2 linked regions of the Arabidopsis thaliana genome follow. The protein of the gene in region 1 interacts with the protein of each later gene in a biochemical or structural test. Each region holds a gene or a part of one and is shown in the gene's direction. Other genes may lie near its edges.

Region 1 (8,381 bases):
CATGAACACCAGAAGCAGCCCATAGCCGTTGATTAAACTCTTCTTGCATCTCATCTGGAACAAACGGTGTTCTACAAAGTGGACACGTCTTCTGATCATGATCCATCCAACGGTCAAGACAGCTCCGGTGAAATATATGTCTGCAATTTCTCAGCCACCGGATCTCTTGTTCTCCTTCGAATTCGTATAGACAAACGGCGCAGTTTTCCGGTAGATCTTCGCCGGAATTCGTTAACTCTTCGAATTTGATAACCGGTAGGATCTCTCTAATTAGGAGTGCGGAGAAAGGTGAGCGGGTTTCGGGTATTCGGGTCGGGTACGATGTGTAATCGGGCCAGGTTTGATCCATTTCGAGAAAATCTGAGAGACCCAAGAAGCGGAAGATAGAGAAGACGATGGTTCTGATGAATCCGAGAATCGAAAGCGTTTGTACGAAAAGCTTCGGTAAGAAAACCTCTGTGTAACCTACGGGAAAGCCCATGGAGAAAGCTAGGGTTTTTAGAGAGATAATAATGAGTGAGCTCTGTTTTTTTTCCTTTTTTTGAAAAAGTTGATTTTTTTAATGTCATGAGGAGTTTGATTTATAGAAATCAAAGGAAGGAAGAAGATGAAGGAAGGAAGGAAGGTACAGGATTCGTCTAAACGACATCGTGTCGTGTAAGATTGATTTTGATAGAGTTAACTGACTGTGACGTTTGTTATGTGAACGTTCCAATGAGGTGAAAAAGAGTAGAAATGGGAAAAGATTGAAGTTGGACTGTGAGATTTGGTTCTGTCACCAACATTGTTGGATTTGGCTACGTGCGTCTCTACAGTATAACTTGGTTTTTTTTTTTTGGGAATAAAAGTATCTGCAAGTTGCACGACGATCAGCACACGTGGTACGTGCGGTTGATGTGGATTGAGGAATTAATTCGTCCTATTTTTTTATAAATGGAATTACGTTTTTTAATTTTAATTTTTGGGATTCGTTGAATGTTATTTAACACGTGAAATTTACACTAGGCAGTAGATAAATAGGGTTACGTTCTCGGTATTAGGACATTTTCATAAGAACAAACAAAAAATAGAGCACTAATTATCATTATTTTAAAAGACATTAGTATATGAAAATTTTATCAAGATCGTTAACTAATCTTGTAGTAAAGTAAGATCAAATGGCTGAGCTTCATTCCGTAAATCACACGTCAAAGAGGTCTCATGCGTTGTCTCTATTAGCATTTATACTGGTTATAGGAAAACAACAAATGTATTTGAAAAGTATAAAATTCTTTTGTAATTACATATGATAAGCTAAGTAGCTAACTACTGTATTAGGTTCTTTTCTTTATTTAACAAGTTTAGATATTTGTTTTGTGATTCTATGTTGGCATCAGTGGAGGTGTATATATCAAATAATGCGAGGGATCACCTAAAATATTACTATTTCTATAAACCAGTTCATTGCTTTTGTCTTTCTTTTTTTTTTTTGGTAAGCTGCTTTTGTCTTTCTTATATATATAGGAAACTATGCTCTAATTTGCACTACGGTTTGGATTAGTTTCTTATTTTGACTACAGTAATATAGTTAGGATTGCTTCTAGTTTTGAAAAAGATGATAATATGTTTTGAGATCGGTACAATGTTTAATTGAAATATATATATTTGATGATCAAATTAAAGGCATATTAGGTTGAGTAAAAACATTACAAAAGCAAAAGTTCAAAAAAAAAAAATGAAGAAAGCAAAGAGAAACGAGAGAAGGGTGTGTGTGGGTCAAGGAGGCTTTAAAGAGATGATTAATAAAGAAGAGGAATCAACCTTATCTATACCCCTCACCCTCAATTTCGAAAATGATAGATTATATATATACATAATTAATAATTATATAAAAGTAGAAAAAAGTCTATTGTTTAACTGAGTGGTGGACCGGAGAGAGGTATAGGAGACAAGTCGTCGGTGGCAATGATCCTTCCACCAACCGGCAATGGTTCATGGCTCAACTATGATCGGAGAAATGTCGTTTTTGCAATGAACATATATGTTTTGTTATCTATAATCGTATTTTAAAATCAAGTGGTCGTATATATATACTCTAATACTTATAGTCATGTGGAAATTTTTTCATAAGATGTACAACTTACTTACGATGATATATTCAAACTTAGTAGGAATTTATTTGGTTCTATAGCCTATATATAGTTGACTCACTCAAAAATAACCAGAGATAAATAATAAAATTGATGTTTTTTGGTAATATTTATGAAGTATGGGCCTTATTTATAATCACACGCTGAATTCTGAAACCTTATAATTAGAAAACGCATTCAAAAAAAAAAAAAAATAACAATAAGAAAATCTATATAGCCTAGTAGAACGGTCACAAAAACCCACAAAAGTATCAAAAACTCGTAAACCATCAACGTTTGAGCTCATTTTGTTGTTATAGTCAAAATCATTCAAAGTTATTTTGACAAGACGTATTGGTACCATAATAACGCATTAATACACCTATACATTTATAAATTATTTTATTAGTTATACACGATGGTAGTACAAGAATACATGTATTGTAGTAGAATTTTGTAATCAATTAATGTCACAAAATTCAAACCAAACTTCAATGAGAAAATTCATGATGCTCAACTAGTCAATGTGTATGTTATACGACAAAAAAACATGCAATTTGTCAATTACCATCGATCCAAAAAAAAAAACCCTCTAAAACGATAAGAGGAACGAAATAAGTATGGAGAATGGTGTGTTGATTTGGAAATGTTATAATGAGGCCGAGACAGCCACATGGCCCTATTGCTTGTATGCATATCATCTCATCTCCTACCTCTCCCACACTTCTCTTTGTCATGTCACTGTTTAATTTTTGAATACTCGCACCATCTCGTTCTCTGGTCCCATGATGCATCGATACGAATATACTTGATTGACTGTTTCTTGTTTGTTTCATAACTATATACCCTACTTTAAACCCTATTTGATCCAATATTGATCTTAGATTTAAGATGATGTTTCGGTGGAATATGAGGTTCAATCATTGCTTCATTTGTAATTAAATAAAATTTTAGATGATACTGAAAAAGTCACGACAATACAGATTTTTTTATTACACTATAATTGTTTTTCAAATAAAAAGATTGGAGTTCATGTATTCAGTCTCTGTTAGGGTCTTAGGAACCTTTTGTTGTTGATATTATACGATAAAGATATAATTAGCTTATTCTCTATCTTTATGATTCCTATTCCTACTGATGTCTTTATGAATCTCATAATTTATAGGTCACATAAAACATGGCTAATCAGTGTTTTGCTAATCATAAGATTTTATAGATGTGATTCGCAATTTTGTTTCCTACAAAGCAGGGGTGGTTTTCTAGATAGAAAGAGATAAACGTATACAATCATTCGCTATAATAATATATGATCGATTAACAACGATGTTTATAGATATTTAATCATTTTGCTAGTGAGTATACAGTCTTAGATCTCGTCGTCTTGTCTTTCTCCTACACGTCACATGGTACCACTTCATGTTTCTTTTTGCTTGGTACCACTCCATGTTTTTATTATCAAATTGGATATAGAAAAATTGCAATTAATTTGTAGAAGGTACATAAATGAGGTCCCGCTCCGGCAAATGTTAAAGCCGTAGTTATTTTCTTGAAGGCCTAATGCTATCAGCTGAAGATTAAAAAAAGCCCAAAAACATATGGGCTTTGGTATTCTTTATAAGCCCAGTCACTTGGAATACTAGCTTATATTTTCTTTCTTTAAAACTCAGTTAATAGTTATGTTCAAATAGAGAGAAAATCTAAGATGTGGTGGGACGAAGTTGCCACGTGCCAATGAGTTGACCAATGAGGAAACTCAGTGCGTTATCCGTAGGGATAATCAGATAAGCAGAATCTGATTTTGTCACCAGAGTGCTTTTATAGATTACACAACACACGTTCGTTTCTTTCTTCTTCTAACACACTCTGAGTCTTGAAGGTCAACAACGTCGAGAATAATGGCATCATCTCTTTGTGCTTCTTCTGCCATCGCTGCCATTTCTTCTCCAAGGTAAGCTCATCTTTTTCTCTCTTCTTATCAGTTATCATCACTTGCTATGTAGGAATGAGACTAAGATCCTTGTACAGTTGTACTTAATTAGTTTCGTTAACATGACTATGATAGTGATCCATTGATTGGGATTTATGATCTAGTATCCGAGAATGTGTGTGCGGTTGTAAAATTAGTGATCCATCATCCATTTAGATTAAACGTTGTGCGACTATTGTTTGTGTGATCCAAACACCGATCTGCCCTATGTAATAATATGAATTTATGCATGGTTGGTGTTATTGAAGTTGTGACTAAATTTTTAGGGCTATGATATATGTGCAGTTTCTTGGGTGGTAAGAAACTGAGGCTGAAGAAGAAGTTGACTGTTCCAGCTGTGTCCAGGCCAGATGCGTCGGTGCGCGCCGTCGCAGCTGATCCAGATAGACCAATCTGGTTCCCGGGAAGCACTCCTCCAGAGTGGCTAGACGGTAGCCTCCCTGGTGACTTCGGATTTGATCCTCTTGGTCTTTGTGAGTATATTTTTTTTGTTCCTCCTTGCATGCTTTTTAACAAGTTTTATAAACAAAATTAGACTATATTTATAATTTTCTGACAAAATTTAGACACATGTCAGCATCGGACCCGGACAGTCTAAAATGGAACGTACAAGCCGAGATAGTCCACTGCCGATGGGCTATGCTAGGAGCCGCCGGGATATTCATCCCAGAGTTCCTAACGAAGATCGGAATCCTCAACACTCCGTCATGGTACACGGCGGGAGAGCAAGAGTATTTCACGGACAAAACCACACTCTTTGTCGTTGAGCTCATTTTGATCGGATGGGCAGAAGGACGTAGATGGGCCGATATCATCAAGCCCGGTAGCGTCAACACTGACCCAGTCTTCCCAAACAACAAACTGACGGGCACAGACGTTGGTTACCCAGGTGGGTTATGGTTCGACCCGTTGGGTTGGGGATCCGGTAGCCCGGCTAAGCTCAAGGAGTTGAGGACCAAGGAGATCAAGAACGGAAGGTTGGCTATGTTGGCAGTGATGGGTGCTTGGTTCCAACACATCTACACTGGCACTGGTCCTATTGATAACCTTTTTGCACATCTTGCTGATCCTGGTCACGCCACAATCTTCGCTGTAAGTGTGATCCAAATCAAAACATATCTTTACTAAATGTTCATAACGTCGACACGTTTAATTGACTAGCTTTTGTGTGTGTGTTTTTTTTACAGGCTTTCACACCCAAGTGAGACAACGAAAAAGGGTTATGGGGAGGTGAATGCGTTTGTGTGTGATCATGTTTGTACAAATATCATTTTGAACTTAAAATTATTATGTACTTTATATAAATTGTGGTCGAATGCAAATTAAGGTTCCCCGTAACACTCTTTTCCTAACTCAATGATCATAAGATGCTTTTACATTGTCATTCGGAGCATAAAAGAGTCCATCTTAATTGTTTTTCGTTATTGTTGATATCTAAGCTTATGTTCTTCTTCTATCTCTCTCTCTTACCTTTCTCTCTTTCCGAATATCTCTTTCTCACCTTTCTCTCTCTCTCTTGCTTACCTTTTTCTAAATCTCTCTTTCTCACCTATCTTCTTTTCTCTCTCTCTCAATATAACATGACAAATTTAAATATTGAAAATCAACTGAAAATTTGTTATTGTCTAATGCATATTCACTAAAGTTAAATCTAAGATAGTAGTTATACGTTAATTATGAACATGATTTAGCAATTATACAACTTCCAAATAGATAAGGTGGAAAAAAGTGAACACATGAGTAAATTGAAGTTTAACTTGTAAATATTTTGTACAGAGAAAGAACCTCTATCAATTAACACTCGATAAATTAGTAATCACTATAAATTACTTATTTTTTCAGTCTCGAGTTAGATCAATGTAATATTTAACATCATTTGATAAAATAATAACTTGTTTGAAAATCTAATGTAACTAAATAGTCTAGTAATATCGTAAATTAATAATCATTATCATAAATTAATATAAACTTATCAAACATCAAAATTCCGATTACAAAAAGAATAAAAGTTTAGTTATGTTATTAATTATTAAAAATTTAGACGAAGGTATACTAGTTTTGTAATCCCATTATTAATAGTCTATAGAATGGTAACGGGCTAACGGCGATGGTGATAAACGGAAGAGAAGAGAGAGAGCTAGGGTTGGAGAAAGAGACAAAAGAGAGGGACTACGGAATGCAGAGGAAAGCTTCGGCGGTGTTCATAGGGTCGTAGAAAGGAGAAAAAAAACAGAGAGAAACGACGGAAGGCAGAGGAAAGCTTCGGCGGTGCTCATAAGAAACCCATGGAGAAGTCTAGAGTCGGAGATGTTGTCGGAGAAAGGAGAAAAAAACAGAGAGAGAAGACGGAATGCAGAGGAAAGCTTCGGCGGTGCTCAGCTCATAAGAACCATGGAGAAATCTAGCGTCGGAGAGAAATACAAACACACAACAGAGAGAGAGAGAAAGAGAGAGCTTACATTGTGAGATCAGAGCGAGAGCTTCCATCCAGAGAGAGAGAGTGAGAGCTTATATAGATGGTTTTCCGAATATATAGTGTGTGAGAACGAAGAACCATCTTTTGTTTTTTTGTTTTTTTCTTAAGTACTTTTATATAAAAACACGAGAGAGAGAGAGAGAGCACGGAGAAGAGGGAGAGAGACAGAGAAAGCAATGGTAATGATCGGAATATGGTGCACGGCGGTGATGATCGGGAAATGGTGCACGGAGGAGAGAGAGAGAGCTAAAAAAAACTTACATAGTAGTACATGAAATTTAATTGTTTATTTTTTGGGGTTTCTATGAAATCGTAGAAATATTATTTTATTAAATATGAAACTTACAATAAATATTATTTTCTTTAACCTAGAGAAATAGTAGAGATACAAGTGGATATTGGATATAAATACCTCTTTATCAAAGACATTTTATACAACACACATATCAATATTAATAATACAACGGTTGATTAAAGTCAAAAACAAAAAATCCCAACCCAAATTTTTTTAAGTTCACATATGTGTAGTTTGTTTAGCGTTTCAGAATTCTTTTCAAACCAAGTAATCCGACTTTATTTTTAACTGACTCGTTTTTTTAATTATGTTTTGGTGTCAAAACTAATCAACCCATGGAAAGTATCAACCCACATATGTGGTTTAGCTTTTTCATAAATATACATTTTAATCATTTCTTGTTTAGTTAGTGACAAGACATGTTACTTGTTTGATGACAAATATTTGTATCTCCAATTTCTAAATCTTTTAGCCAAATGAAATTATATATTTGACCAAAAAAATAAAACTAAGAAAAGTGAAAGAGTATGGGGGCATCAGAATCTCTGTCATGTGAGTACTATTTTTTGAACAAGCTAAGTAACGTCTTGTATCTATTTGATTTTTTTTTAGTATCATATAGCACGAGTGTCTTAATGAAATCGTTATTAGCTTCAATAATACTAAATAAAATGTTTACTTTCACAATATGTAACCGATTAAATTCGTAAATATTTTGTACGAAGAAAGGATCTCACTCGATAAATTAGTAATTACTATAAATTAATTATTTTTTTAATCTCGAGTGAGATCAATGTAGTATTTAACATAATTTAATAAAATAATAATTTGGTTGGAAATATAATGTAATTATATAGTCTAGTAATATTATAAATTAATAATCATTATCATAAATTAATATAAACTTATCAAACATCGGAAATTCAGATTAAAAAAGAACAAAAGTTTAGTTGTATTATTAATTATTAAAAATTTAGACGAAGGTATACTAGTTTTGTAATTCTATTATTATTACTCTATAGAATTAAATTAATAGTCTATAGAATGGTTTGAGTAAACCGAGAAATGAGAGAGAGTTCTCCTTGAACCAAGGATAATCAATAATTGATTCCCGGTTTATTCGTAAAATTAGATTCGTATCACCGAAACCAATTATATTCGCAAAATTAAAATCCGATCAACATAAACCGGTCGGGCAATTCCAATTTTGATGCTCCGTTTATTGAGCGTTTATTGATCTGCGACTGCGAGATCCATCTTCTTCTTCTTCTCCTTCTTCTTCTTCCAACGAATGTTCCTATGATCTCTGTGTATGAACAGAATCTGTAATCAGATCCATTGTAGAGAGAGATAGCCATTTCAATTCGAGGTAGCCAAAGATGTATATGGCTTACGGGTGGCCGCAGGTGATCCCGCTTCTACCTGGATCGCAGCGAGTCGTGTACCTTAAGCTCGCCGGCCGGCTATTACTGGTCGTTTCTCCGTCTCACCTGGAGCTTTGGGGTTCTTCTCAGG
Region 2 (10,648 bases), on another chromosome or scaffold:
TCTGGAATATGAGGCTGATGTAATGAAAGATGTTCCGGGATGGAAAGTTGGCGAGAATGTGTACAATTCTGGTCGCTGGATGCCTCCGGCTACTGGGGAACTCCGTCCTGATGTGTGGTGATTTCCTAGTTTCTCTCAAATGCATATGATGATGATGAATGATGTTTCGCTGAGGATTGATATGTTCTTGTTATATCTTTTTTTCTTCGGGTAATAAGAGAATGATTCAACAGACAGTATTCTTCTTGTATTGGTTTTCTCTTAAGTGTTTCAATCGTAATATGAGGCAAAAACAGTTTCATGATTCATCAGCAAGCTGCAAGAAATTGGCTTATTTGACAGCTCCAGGTGAAAAATATTCGAAAAAGCTTACCGAGTGAAATCGAACCAAATCATATATAATTATATGTGAATTTAATATCCAAAACAATAAAATTTTGAAAACAAGAGTTCTTGAAAATGAAAAAAAGAGTAAAACCTTTTCAGAAAATAAATAAAATTAAATGCTAAATATAGTACATGAAAATGAGAAAAATATGTTAGATTTGTGAAATCGTTAATGACCATGGTTAAATGGCGGGATCCAAAATCCGGTTAGATTTCACAACGTCATATTAATTTAGTATTTATAAAATCTTTTAAAAAAAAGAAAAAGGAAAAAAAAAGAGAGTTGAAAACATTTTTAAAAAAATAAAATAAAAATAATTAAATGCTAAATATACATGAAGATGTGAAAAACATGTTGGATTTGTGGAATCGCTAATGACCACGGTTAAATGGCGGGATCCAAAATCTGGTTAGATTTCACAACGTTATATTAATTTAGTATTTATTAAAACTTTTAAAAAAATCAAAAAAAATTTGAAAAACTTTTAAGAAAAGAAAACAAAAAATAAATGCTAAATATACATGAAGATGTGAAAAATATGTTGGATTTATGGAATCGCTAATGACCACGGTTAAATGGCGGGATCAAAAATCCGGTTAGATTTCACAACGTCATATTAATTTAGTATTTATAAAAAACCTTTAAAAAATTATTTATTTAAATGTTTTAGTGAAAGTTTTAGTTTTGGTTAAAATAATTTTTAAAGAAAAGAAGAAAAAAAGTTAGAATGAAGAAAGTCCTAGTGTAACGAAGGCCTCATACAGCAAAGCCCATTCCAAAGTCCTAGTGTAGCTCTGTCGTAACATTATCCACCAATTTTAGGTCAATTTTGTAAAACTAAACTACAAGATCATTCCATGGGAAGCTTCTCTCCGATATGCAAGACAAGACGCCAAAGAATGGCAAGATGCAGAAGAGTACACCCACCGTTTATCATCAAAACCTGACAGAGTAACGTCACAAGAACCAACAGCTAATCTCTGGACAACACCCCCTATTGGTTGGACGAAATGCAACTATGACGGCACTTACCACAGCAACGCTCCGAGTAAAGCGGGTTGGCTCTTACGGGATGATCGAGGAACCTTTCTAGGTGCAGCTCATGCTATAGGCTCTATTACTACCAATCCGATGGAAAGTGAACTCCAAGCTTTAGTCATGGCCATGCAACATTGTTGGAGTAGGGGCTATAGGAAAATTTACTTTGAAGGTGACAATAAAGAAGTCTCAGAGATTGTCAATGGTCGGTCTTCAAATTTTGCAGTTTTTAATTGGATAAGAGATATAAGCGCTTGGAGATCAAAATTTGAAGAATGCAAGTTTACTTGGACAAGGCGATTTTCAAACATGGCTGCAGATGCTCTGGCAAAACAACAACTTCCTTTGAACACTCAGTTTTATTGCTATAACTATATCCCGTTTGTAATAACTGATTTTTTACATCGCGACTTTGCTACAGCAAATTATTAATAAAGCTGATGTTTGAGGAAAAAAAAAAAAACTACAAGATCAAACCCTAGTTCCTCCGATGAAATTGCGGTTAGAAAACTAAATATTGATTGACCTAATTCAAAGAGACCTTTTTTGTGCAGAAACTAAATATTAAAAATCCAAGGTTCCAAGAGATCAAATAGGAATTTAAGCGAGAAGCAACATACCTGAGTCTCGTGACAACGGCGCGTGGTTTGCGTCAATACTTGGGACTCTCGGTGAGATCCGCCATGATTTGCTAGAGAGATCGTGAAACGCAAGAAAACAGAGAGACAAACGGTGGCGAGATCATTGATGGTGTGATCACCGAGTTACAGTTCCGACGGTTCTGACGGTGGTGAAAATGGATGGTGATCATCGAGCTTTGACGTTCTCGTGATCGGTGAGTTCTTTTTGTAAGAGAGGAACAGAAACAAACAGAGGCTAAAAAGACAAAAGAAGAAGAAGAAGGTGGATTTTTTGTTTTCTTCTCGTAATCCATGCTTTGGACCTTGTATCAGCCACTTATGATCATTTGCTATATTGATGCTTTCCAATTTTAGAGTATTGAAATGGGTTTCTTTGACAATCATTTTGAGTTAGTCATCATTCCTTGTTCTGAATCAAGAATTGGCTTTTGTTATGTTGTCTAGGTTCTGCTTGTAACTAGAGTAATGCTATTGTAGTCTCTGTTGTTTATTTGTAGAATCATAGAGAGTCGTGGAAGCATGTTTTAGTTGTTACTCTCGATTTCTTGTCGATGTTGTGGTGTTATAAATTGAGCGTTTTAACCAATACAAGTTAGGAGATGGTTAGTATGTGACTATGTGTTAGTGGCCATGTATGTAGTTCGATCAGATAATCTGAATGATGTGCTAAAGAGCTTGCATAGGAAGACTGCCTTTGTGTTAGCTTGCATAGAGACTTGTTGCAATATATGAGACTGAAAACTATTATGTGAAAACTTTAATTTGTGTACAAATATTTTTAACTCTTAAAATTAAACTAACATTGTACCAATTAGCACATGAAAGAAACACAGAATTCTGTGAACATATGATGAATAACTATATAAACACATTATGGATTCAGTTAAGGAGACAGAAACAAGAAGATGAATTTCAGATATATAGCAATAGAGTCACTTATAATCATATCAGAGCTTATACTTTATACAAATTATCACTTTAGTCCTTAAATTAAAACCGATTTAATCGACAATCTTGTTATTCTTTAAAACAATTTGTTCTTATTTTCAATCTTTAAATTTTGCAACAATCGACAGAACTTATCGTTATTCCGTGTTTTTATTTTCATATCTTTCTTAAAATGTTTCAAAATAATATATGTTTAATATTTTCTGATTTACAATAGTTATTAAGTTATATGAAATATAATTATTTTAAATTTTATTTTATTTTTCAGAAAACTCTTATAAGAGAGCTTACCATTAGAATATGAAAAAAAATTAAAACTCTCTTATAACTTTTTAAAAATTTTAATAATAAAAAAATGGAGAAAGCCCGTGAAAGAGCTCTTACGAACCAAAACCATTCAGTCCGGTTAAGAATTGGTTATCAAGTTTGGTTCCTAAAAGATATCCAAGTTCAAAAGCAAAAAAATATCTTCTTTTCTCTCTCTCTACTCTCTTCTCTTCTTCTCTTCTTCTCTTCTTCTCTGGCTGGGCAACCATGATTACTGTCGTCACCTCCAGGCTCTCTCTCCTTCCTCCAGTCTTCTCCGTCGTTAACTCTTCTTCTTCGCGTTCCAAAGGTGCTCAATTTATTTCTGCCACGTCTTCTCTTTATAGCACTCTGTTTTACACACGTCGTTGATTCTTCAGTTTTTTAAAAGACCCGTCTTATACAAAATTTCAGTGTAACCGATCCCTGAAATTCGTTAAAGGGATGAAATTTTATCTAAGATTCGGAGTTTTCTTTTCGAACATAGTGGTAATGTTTGTCGAATGCTTGATTTGGTCTTCCACAGCTGTCACTATCGAGTTTGAAGATAGAAATCTTGTGTTAACTTAGTATGTATTACTGCATAATGTCAATTCTGTTTGAAAGCATCAGAATTTCGGAACAGATTTTTGTTTCGTATAGCATCGATCTTTGTCTTGTGTGTTTTTATCTTCTCTCTGAAGCCTGCATGAACCCTTCTCTTATGGCTTTAATTGCAGATATGAATCTAGAGCCAAAAAAGAAGGTTAAATTAAGAGAAGACTGGAGAGAAAAGTCCAGACCTATCCCACCCGGAGGAACCTATCCAGCTAAAGACCATTGCAGGTTTTTTCTTTCTTTTTTGTTTGTTTGTTTGTTTACCTCACTATTTTTGTCTCATTCTTATCAAGATCCTTGGTGTTCTGATGGGTTTGCAGTCAGTGCGGGCTATGCGACACCTACTACATTGCCCATGTGAAGGAGGCATGTGCATTTCTTGGAGATGGAATGTCAAGGATTGAGGTAATGTCCATATAAATGGATAAGATTTGATACTCTTTTTAATTGATGGGCTAAGATTCTTATTTTGTTAATATTTTAAGTTCTTGTGCAGAGCTTGGAACCTGTTGTGCATGGTAGAGGAAGGAAAGCAGATTCCTTACAAGATACATATTTTGGGGTGCATCAAGAGCAGCTCTATGCTCGTAAGTTGAAGCCTGTCGAAGGTAAATAGACACTTCCCTTCCACTGTTCCACATTTTCTACTAACTTCTTTTCCTGGCTCAATCTAAGCTAGGGCACTTTTGTGTCTCGTTCAAGATGAATTTAGCTTAGCTTTGTTGTTTACTTTTCATTCTATTTTCGGTTGCAGGAGCTCAGTGGACTGGAATTGTCACAACCATAGCCATTGAGATGCTGAAATCTAATATGGTTGAAGCTGTCGTTTGTGTGCAGAGGTAAAACTACTGTTGAATTTCAGAAATGGACTAGGCTTACATTTATCGACCATGCTGTAGATTTTTCCATCTATCCATGTAACTGATTTATTGAAATATTACAGTGATCCTGAAGACAGATTATCTCCAAGACCAGTATTAGCCAGGTTTTCCACCTTCCTAATGTGGTTTATTTTGAGTCCATTCTTCTTCAAGTCGCCATTTTTTAGATGTGGATCCATATTTTGCTGTTACTCTGGATATAGAAGCGTATTGATGTTTCATTTCTTTTCATTCTAAGGACACCTGAAGAAGTTTTGGCTGCAAGAGGTGTCAAGCCAACTCTGTCTCCTAATCTGAATACTCTTGAATTAATCGAGGTTATTTGCCAAACCCTTATTTCTTGTTTGTGTTTTCAATCACTGAATCCATTTCACATGAACTTAGAATTTGTATTGTAACAGGCTTCCGGAGTGAAGCGTCTTCTGTTTTGCGGTGTGGGTTGCCAAGTGCAAGGTATGGGCTCAACATACTTTTTTGTGGACGTATATTTCAAGTTTCTCCATATCGTGACTCTCATAGTATTGTAATGCAGAGTGATTTCTTATACTGCAGCATTGAGATCAGTGGAGCAGCATCTGAATCTGGAAAAGTTGTATGTACTAGGCACCAATTGTGGTATTTTCCTCATCCTATCTAGATTTGTTTTTTCTCCAGAACTTTCACAACTAGTTCTTGTGTTGTACTTTTGAACATTCCATGTTGTATATGTTATTTCGGAGTCTTGTATGCTTAGGTCTAGAAATGCTTATACATTTTTAAACAAGTAAAAAGAACATCTTTGATTAATAGTGGACAACGGAACACGAGATGGACTAGACAAGTTTCTGAAAGCAGCTAGTAAAGAGCCAGAGACTGTTCTCCATTATGAATTTATGCAAGATTACAAGGTTAGCATTAATACAAAACCATCACTTATCTGTGCATTTTCTTTGGTGATGCCAATCTTGTTCAATTTCTCTTATAGGTCCAACTCAAACACTTGGATGGACACATTGAAGAGGTAAATTCGCTTAAAATACTGTGTTGCTCTGCAATTGCAGCTGAAAGCCGTTTTTAAAAAACTTTTTTTGGCTAAAGCAGGTTCCCTATTTCTCTCTACCTGCAAACGATTTAGTAGATGTCATAGCTCCATCGTGTTACAGGTAATACAAGTCTCTGCATTGTCTCTATACCTTGAAATAGATAACCTGTCGGAAATTTTTAAAACTTGTCTACAATTACAAACCCTATCTTTTTTATTCTGCAGCTGCTTTGATTACACAAATGCATTAGCGGTGAGTGTTTCTCTAGCAATTAAGATGTCTTTTCACTTAATTTTGATTCTGCCAATTTCAAACATTTCCTGATATGTATGAGCTTGTTTATCTAGGATTTGGTTATCGGTTACATGGGTGTTCCGAAGTATTCAGGTCTGAACATGACTGACCATCCACAGTATATTACAGTGAGGTCAATATTTCTACGTATTTTGACATGGACCATATAGGTTCTCGTGGTTGGATAAAATTAGTTTTGTTTATGCCTTAAACCACAGAAATGAACGTGGGAAAGAAATGCTCAGCTTGGTAGAAAACCTTTTGGAGATCACTCCAACAATCAGCAGCGTAAAGTTTCTAACATTTATATTTGTTGTTATATTTAAGACTTTAAGAGTCCACTTAACAAATAACATGAACAAACACACCTTTTGTTGTTGTTTCAGGGTGATCGGCGACCTTTTGTGACAGAAACTGTTAAGGCAGACGATGCTGCTAAGTTTGGTATGTTTTCAAACGTATTCGAAACTCTTTTGTTTCTTGAATCGTCTCTGCTTAAAGACATTCAGTTTCAAGCAAAGCTAGATGCCAAAAAGAAAGTTCTCAGCAAATGCATGCAACTAACATTGTGCTAAAGTCTTCTAACTAGTCTATAATTTCTTAGGTCAAGGTCCTGCTCAGCCAGCGCCACTATTTGTTGGAAACATTATTGCGTTCATCCTAAATTTGGTAAGATTATTTCCTTATGAACACAAACCGAGAAACAAGCTCATTGCATAAAAAGTCAAAGAGTTTCTTAACTTGCAAAACCATTCTTGCTTCAGGTTGGTCCTAAGGGTCTAGAATTTGCTCGGTACTCGTTGGACTACCATACCATCAGAAACTATTTGTACGTAAACCGCAAATGGGGAAAGCAAAGGTAAGATCTGAAACACACTCCTAGAGATAAAAGTTTATTGCGATCAACTGTGTATTTCTATACTATTGGATCGTTCTCTAATGACCAAAGCTGCATTACCATCTACAGAGCAAACACCCACATGCCATCATATGCCAAAAAGATAGTGGAAATGTACAACAAAAACGGCCAAATAGATAAAATGCTCTCCAAGAAATGAACATTTTAGGCCTTTCTCATGTAAGTTTCCAAATGTATATTTCATCCTACAAGTGAGTAAATGTACATTGGTCCTACTGTTTCTCAACTTGTAGTATGTTAGTAATATCCAAAACTATTTCCCTCGTGAATTTGGTAAGACACCGGCAAGAAAAGATGGGTCGGTTTGGTGTTTTTTGGCAGAGAACAGAGAATAAGAAACAGTCTAAATCAGCGGCTGAATCCAAATCAACCCATGTGGGTTCCTTCCTCCATATCTTTAGGTTAAGGTGATGTCCGAGTAAAAGGTTGCAGGGTTTTGCATGAGAACATGAATAACTGTTTTAAGAGGATGGGAACCAGACATTTACACAGTTGGGGGGAATTAGCTTTTAATGTCTTTTTTTTGCTTGGACAAAGAAGAAGGAACCATGGTTAAGCTTCACTCGCTCGCTCACTCACTCACTCACTCACTAACTTACTCATCACCATATTTCACACATTGGAAACTTCAAATTTTACTCTCTCTCTTTTTTTCTTTTTTTGTCTTTTTGTTAGTCAAGTCTCTGCTCTGCTCGTTCAATGACTTTGCTGCAGAGACTCTCAGACCTCAAGTGAAACTCATAAATGTCTCTGCTCTTTTGCACCATAGTTGATTTTTTCTCACCAGAGGCATTGTCCTAATACAGAGCATGTAAACGTTTTTTCTAATAATATATTTAAGTGAAATAAAGCTTACTTTGGTACCTTGAATTAATTTTGAGTTGCAATTTGACATATAACAATGTTAGAGAATTCATTTACGTATTGCATATTTTGGATCTGTATCTGTATCTGTTTCAGTATATATATATTTATAACTAGATCCAACATCATATATAATATATGATTTCACTCAAGTTTTTCTGAGAAAGTTGTATAATGTTATATTTATTATCCATCTGTGTTTCAAATTAGATACATTGTTCATCCCTAATGGATTTTGCATATCCTACAGAAATGCATGTTTCAGTATTTTCAACTTGTGTTCCCTGGAGGTTGTAATCCATGAAACAACTTTAATATGGACTGTCCAAGACAATCATGTGTAAATCAATCATTTGCCAAATATAATGATTACAAAATGGCTAATAATTCCTTAATCAGTTAAATAACAGCTCTAACTTGTGAGAGTATTCTTCCAATAATGAAACAGCATGAAATTAGTTGTTTCTTTTCCTGATCAACAACATCATCATAGAGATAACACAACATGCATCGTTGAGAAAAGAATTACAAAACCGTAAAATATATTTGTCATATTAGATTAAGCAAAACTTCTTACAAGAGTTCAAAATCTAAAATGAAGATTTAAAAAAAATACAACAACAAAATAAAGCACTCTTAAAATAAAAATACATAAAAAAGCCACATCTTCCTAAAAAAACAAAGAAAAATCCCCCTATTATTTTTTTCTTTTCACAATTCTCTTTTTTTTGGGGGTATTTTCTTCCGAGGAGAGGGCTTAATTATCTTCTTCTTTTTTTGAATATTTTTTTCCCTAAATTTGATAATGATGATTAGAAATGTGAAATACAACGACGATGACGAGCAGCAGCAGTTTTCTTCTGTTGCTTAGACTCTTCTTTCCACCTATTAGCAATATCATGAGCCACACTCATAGCATCAAGCGACGCACCAAACAATCCTTTTCTCGTGAACCCTACCGCATACAATCCCGCCTCTCCTTTCCATCCGTTTGGAAACGGGTTTTTTGGTATCCCATCATCGGAGAAGAAGTCGTTGTCCTGTTAATACAATTAAAATTCAACACACCAAATTAGTACACATACGAATTTATTGACCTAATTCTTAGTCCTAACTGTCATTACCGGATTTCTATTTCTAACCAAAAACTAGTACCACGTTTTTGTATCCTTTTCGATGAAAATATAAATGTTAATGGTTCATTTGCATTTATTGCTCACATTCGAAACACAATTTGAGTAGGGTTTTCACTAAACTAGGACCGGGTCGGGTGGTTTTTTTTGTGTGTTTTGTCTTCCGACATCATTAAATGTCTAAAATTTAAGCTAAACCTTGAGAAGAAACAATGAATGAAAGATGTTTTATTTATTACCTTAAGCCATGAAGGGACGTTGCTTCTGTATCCAGTAGCTAGAATAACGGAATCAATCTCAAGAACACGGCCATCTATTAGCTCAACTTTGCCTTTGCCGAACTTTATGATTCCGGGGACGATTTTGATCTTTCCCGATCTGATTTTGGGTAACGCTCCGATGTCAAGAACCGGAGTTTTGCCTTCCTTGTTCTTTAGCTCTAACGGTCCAATTTTCGGCCTTTTTAGACCGTATTTATCGGTATTCCCCAAGATAATCCTCGCCAGAAAGAGTATAGTCTTGTCCGCGAGCCAAACGGGCATATACTTCATCATCGTAACTCCTAATTCAAACGTTGATTTCCCAAAAATCTCTCTTGGTAAAACATGAACCTGATAAAATCAAGAAAGGAAAAAAAAACACAGACTATTAGATACTGCTCTGTTTTAGAAAACAGAGTAACAGAAACAGAGGATGCTCTGTTTTAGGGGCTATAAAGATTTGAACTTTTGGTACTTTTTTTTTTTTTTTGGTTTAAGACTTTTGGTACTTACAGCGCTACGAACGACCATCGATGGGTTTGCTCCGTGATTGTAGAGATCGAGAGAGACTTCCATACCGGAGTTTCCACATCCCACCACCAAAACCTTTTTCCCTTGGTACCTTCCACCGGATTTATAGTCACCAGCATGGAGAACATCGCCGCCAAAATCCTCTAGACCTTCAAAATCCGGCACAACTTTCTCAGCGTTCTCTCCCGTTGCCACCACAATCCATCTGCATATATACTCAAACTCGCAAGAACCGAGCTGACCCATGTTTGAAATGGTCTTAACCCGCCACAGCCCGAACGTCTCATCATATTTAGCGGACTGGACTGTCTCGTTGAACTTAGGGTTGATGTCAAAGTTGGCTGCGTAGGACTCAAGGTACTGAATAAACTGAAACTTGGTAGGGTACTCAGGGAACTCGTCCGGGAAAGGATAATTGGGTAATTGGCAAAACTGTTTAGGTAGATGGAGTTTGAGACGATCGTAGGTTCTGTTTTGCCATAATGAAGCAATGCAGTTAGCTCGCTCGAGGATTATGAATGGTACCCCTTCACGTTTCAAGCCCGCAGCAACGGCTAGACCTGATGGGCCAGCTCCGACGATGACGGGTCCATTGACCCAGATGCAACGCCGGGAGAAAATGTCGCTGCCTTCGGGGATGAGGTTTTGAAACATACTCGTGATGTTGATAGACTTCTTGTTATTATTTCCATACATCTTCCACAGAGTTTAGAGTTTGCTTGTCTGGTTGTGAGGAGAAAACAGAAGAAATTTTAAGAATGTAGAAGAAGAAAAAAGAAAGATTTTGGAAACTTTTTAAGACAAGAGGATGGAGATGTAAGTGTAT

What was found.
Region 2: the proteins of LHCA2 (region 1) and HCAR form a complex in vitro, tested with the Arabidopsis thaliana proteins (one study listed by BioGRID).

What each region holds. Positions count from the first base shown.
Region 1 is NC_003074.8:22,741,733-22,750,113, forward strand, and holds LHCA2 (photosystem I light harvesting complex protein), read left to right. Parts: upstream 1-3,781; 5' UTR 3,782-4,003; coding exon 4,004-4,056; intron 4,057-4,380; coding exon 4,381-4,568; intron 4,569-4,672; coding exon 4,673-5,187; intron 5,188-5,282; coding exon 5,283-5,300; 3' UTR 5,301-5,712; downstream 5,713-8,381. Other genes in the region: BRH1 (brassinosteroid-responsive RING-H2), read right to left, coding at 1-481; AT3G61480 (Quinoprotein amine dehydrogenase, beta chain-like; RIC1-like guanyl-nucleotide exchange factor), read left to right, coding at 8,246-8,380. UniProt on the Arabidopsis thaliana protein: The light-harvesting complex (LHC) functions as a light receptor, it captures and delivers excitation energy to photosystems with which it is closely associated, here photosystem I.
Region 2 is NC_003070.9:1,279,394-1,290,041, reverse strand, and holds HCAR (coenzyme F420 hydrogenase family / dehydrogenase, beta subunit family), read left to right. Parts: upstream 1-3,422; 5' UTR 3,423-3,549; coding exon 3,550-3,631; intron 3,632-4,040; coding exon 4,041-4,146; intron 4,147-4,238; coding exon 4,239-4,323; intron 4,324-4,414; coding exon 4,415-4,526; intron 4,527-4,672; coding exon 4,673-4,757; intron 4,758-4,861; coding exon 4,862-4,903; intron 4,904-5,037; coding exon 5,038-5,116; intron 5,117-5,200; coding exon 5,201-5,252; intron 5,253-5,351; coding exon 5,352-5,414; intron 5,415-5,588; coding exon 5,589-5,686; intron 5,687-5,763; coding exon 5,764-5,799; intron 5,800-5,879; coding exon 5,880-5,941; intron 5,942-6,045; coding exon 6,046-6,073; intron 6,074-6,168; coding exon 6,169-6,248; intron 6,249-6,333; coding exon 6,334-6,403; intron 6,404-6,501; coding exon 6,502-6,559; intron 6,560-6,719; coding exon 6,720-6,784; intron 6,785-6,879; coding exon 6,880-6,974; intron 6,975-7,082; coding exon 7,083-7,173; 3' UTR 7,174-7,879; and 1 more. Other genes in the region: MEE4 (GRIM-19 protein), read left to right, coding at 1-121; AT1G04625 (Polynucleotidyl transferase, ribonuclease H-like superfamily protein), read left to right, coding at 222-348, 1,254-1,810, 2,122-2,211; YUC3 (YUCCA 3), read right to left, coding at 8,711-8,938, 9,271-9,642, 9,805-10,518. UniProt on the Arabidopsis thaliana protein: Probable iron-sulfur flavoprotein that converts 7-hydroxymethyl chlorophyll a to chlorophyll a using ferredoxin as a reducing equivalent. Catalyzes the reduction of a hydroxymethyl group to a methyl group. Belongs to the chlorophyll catabolic enzymes (CCEs).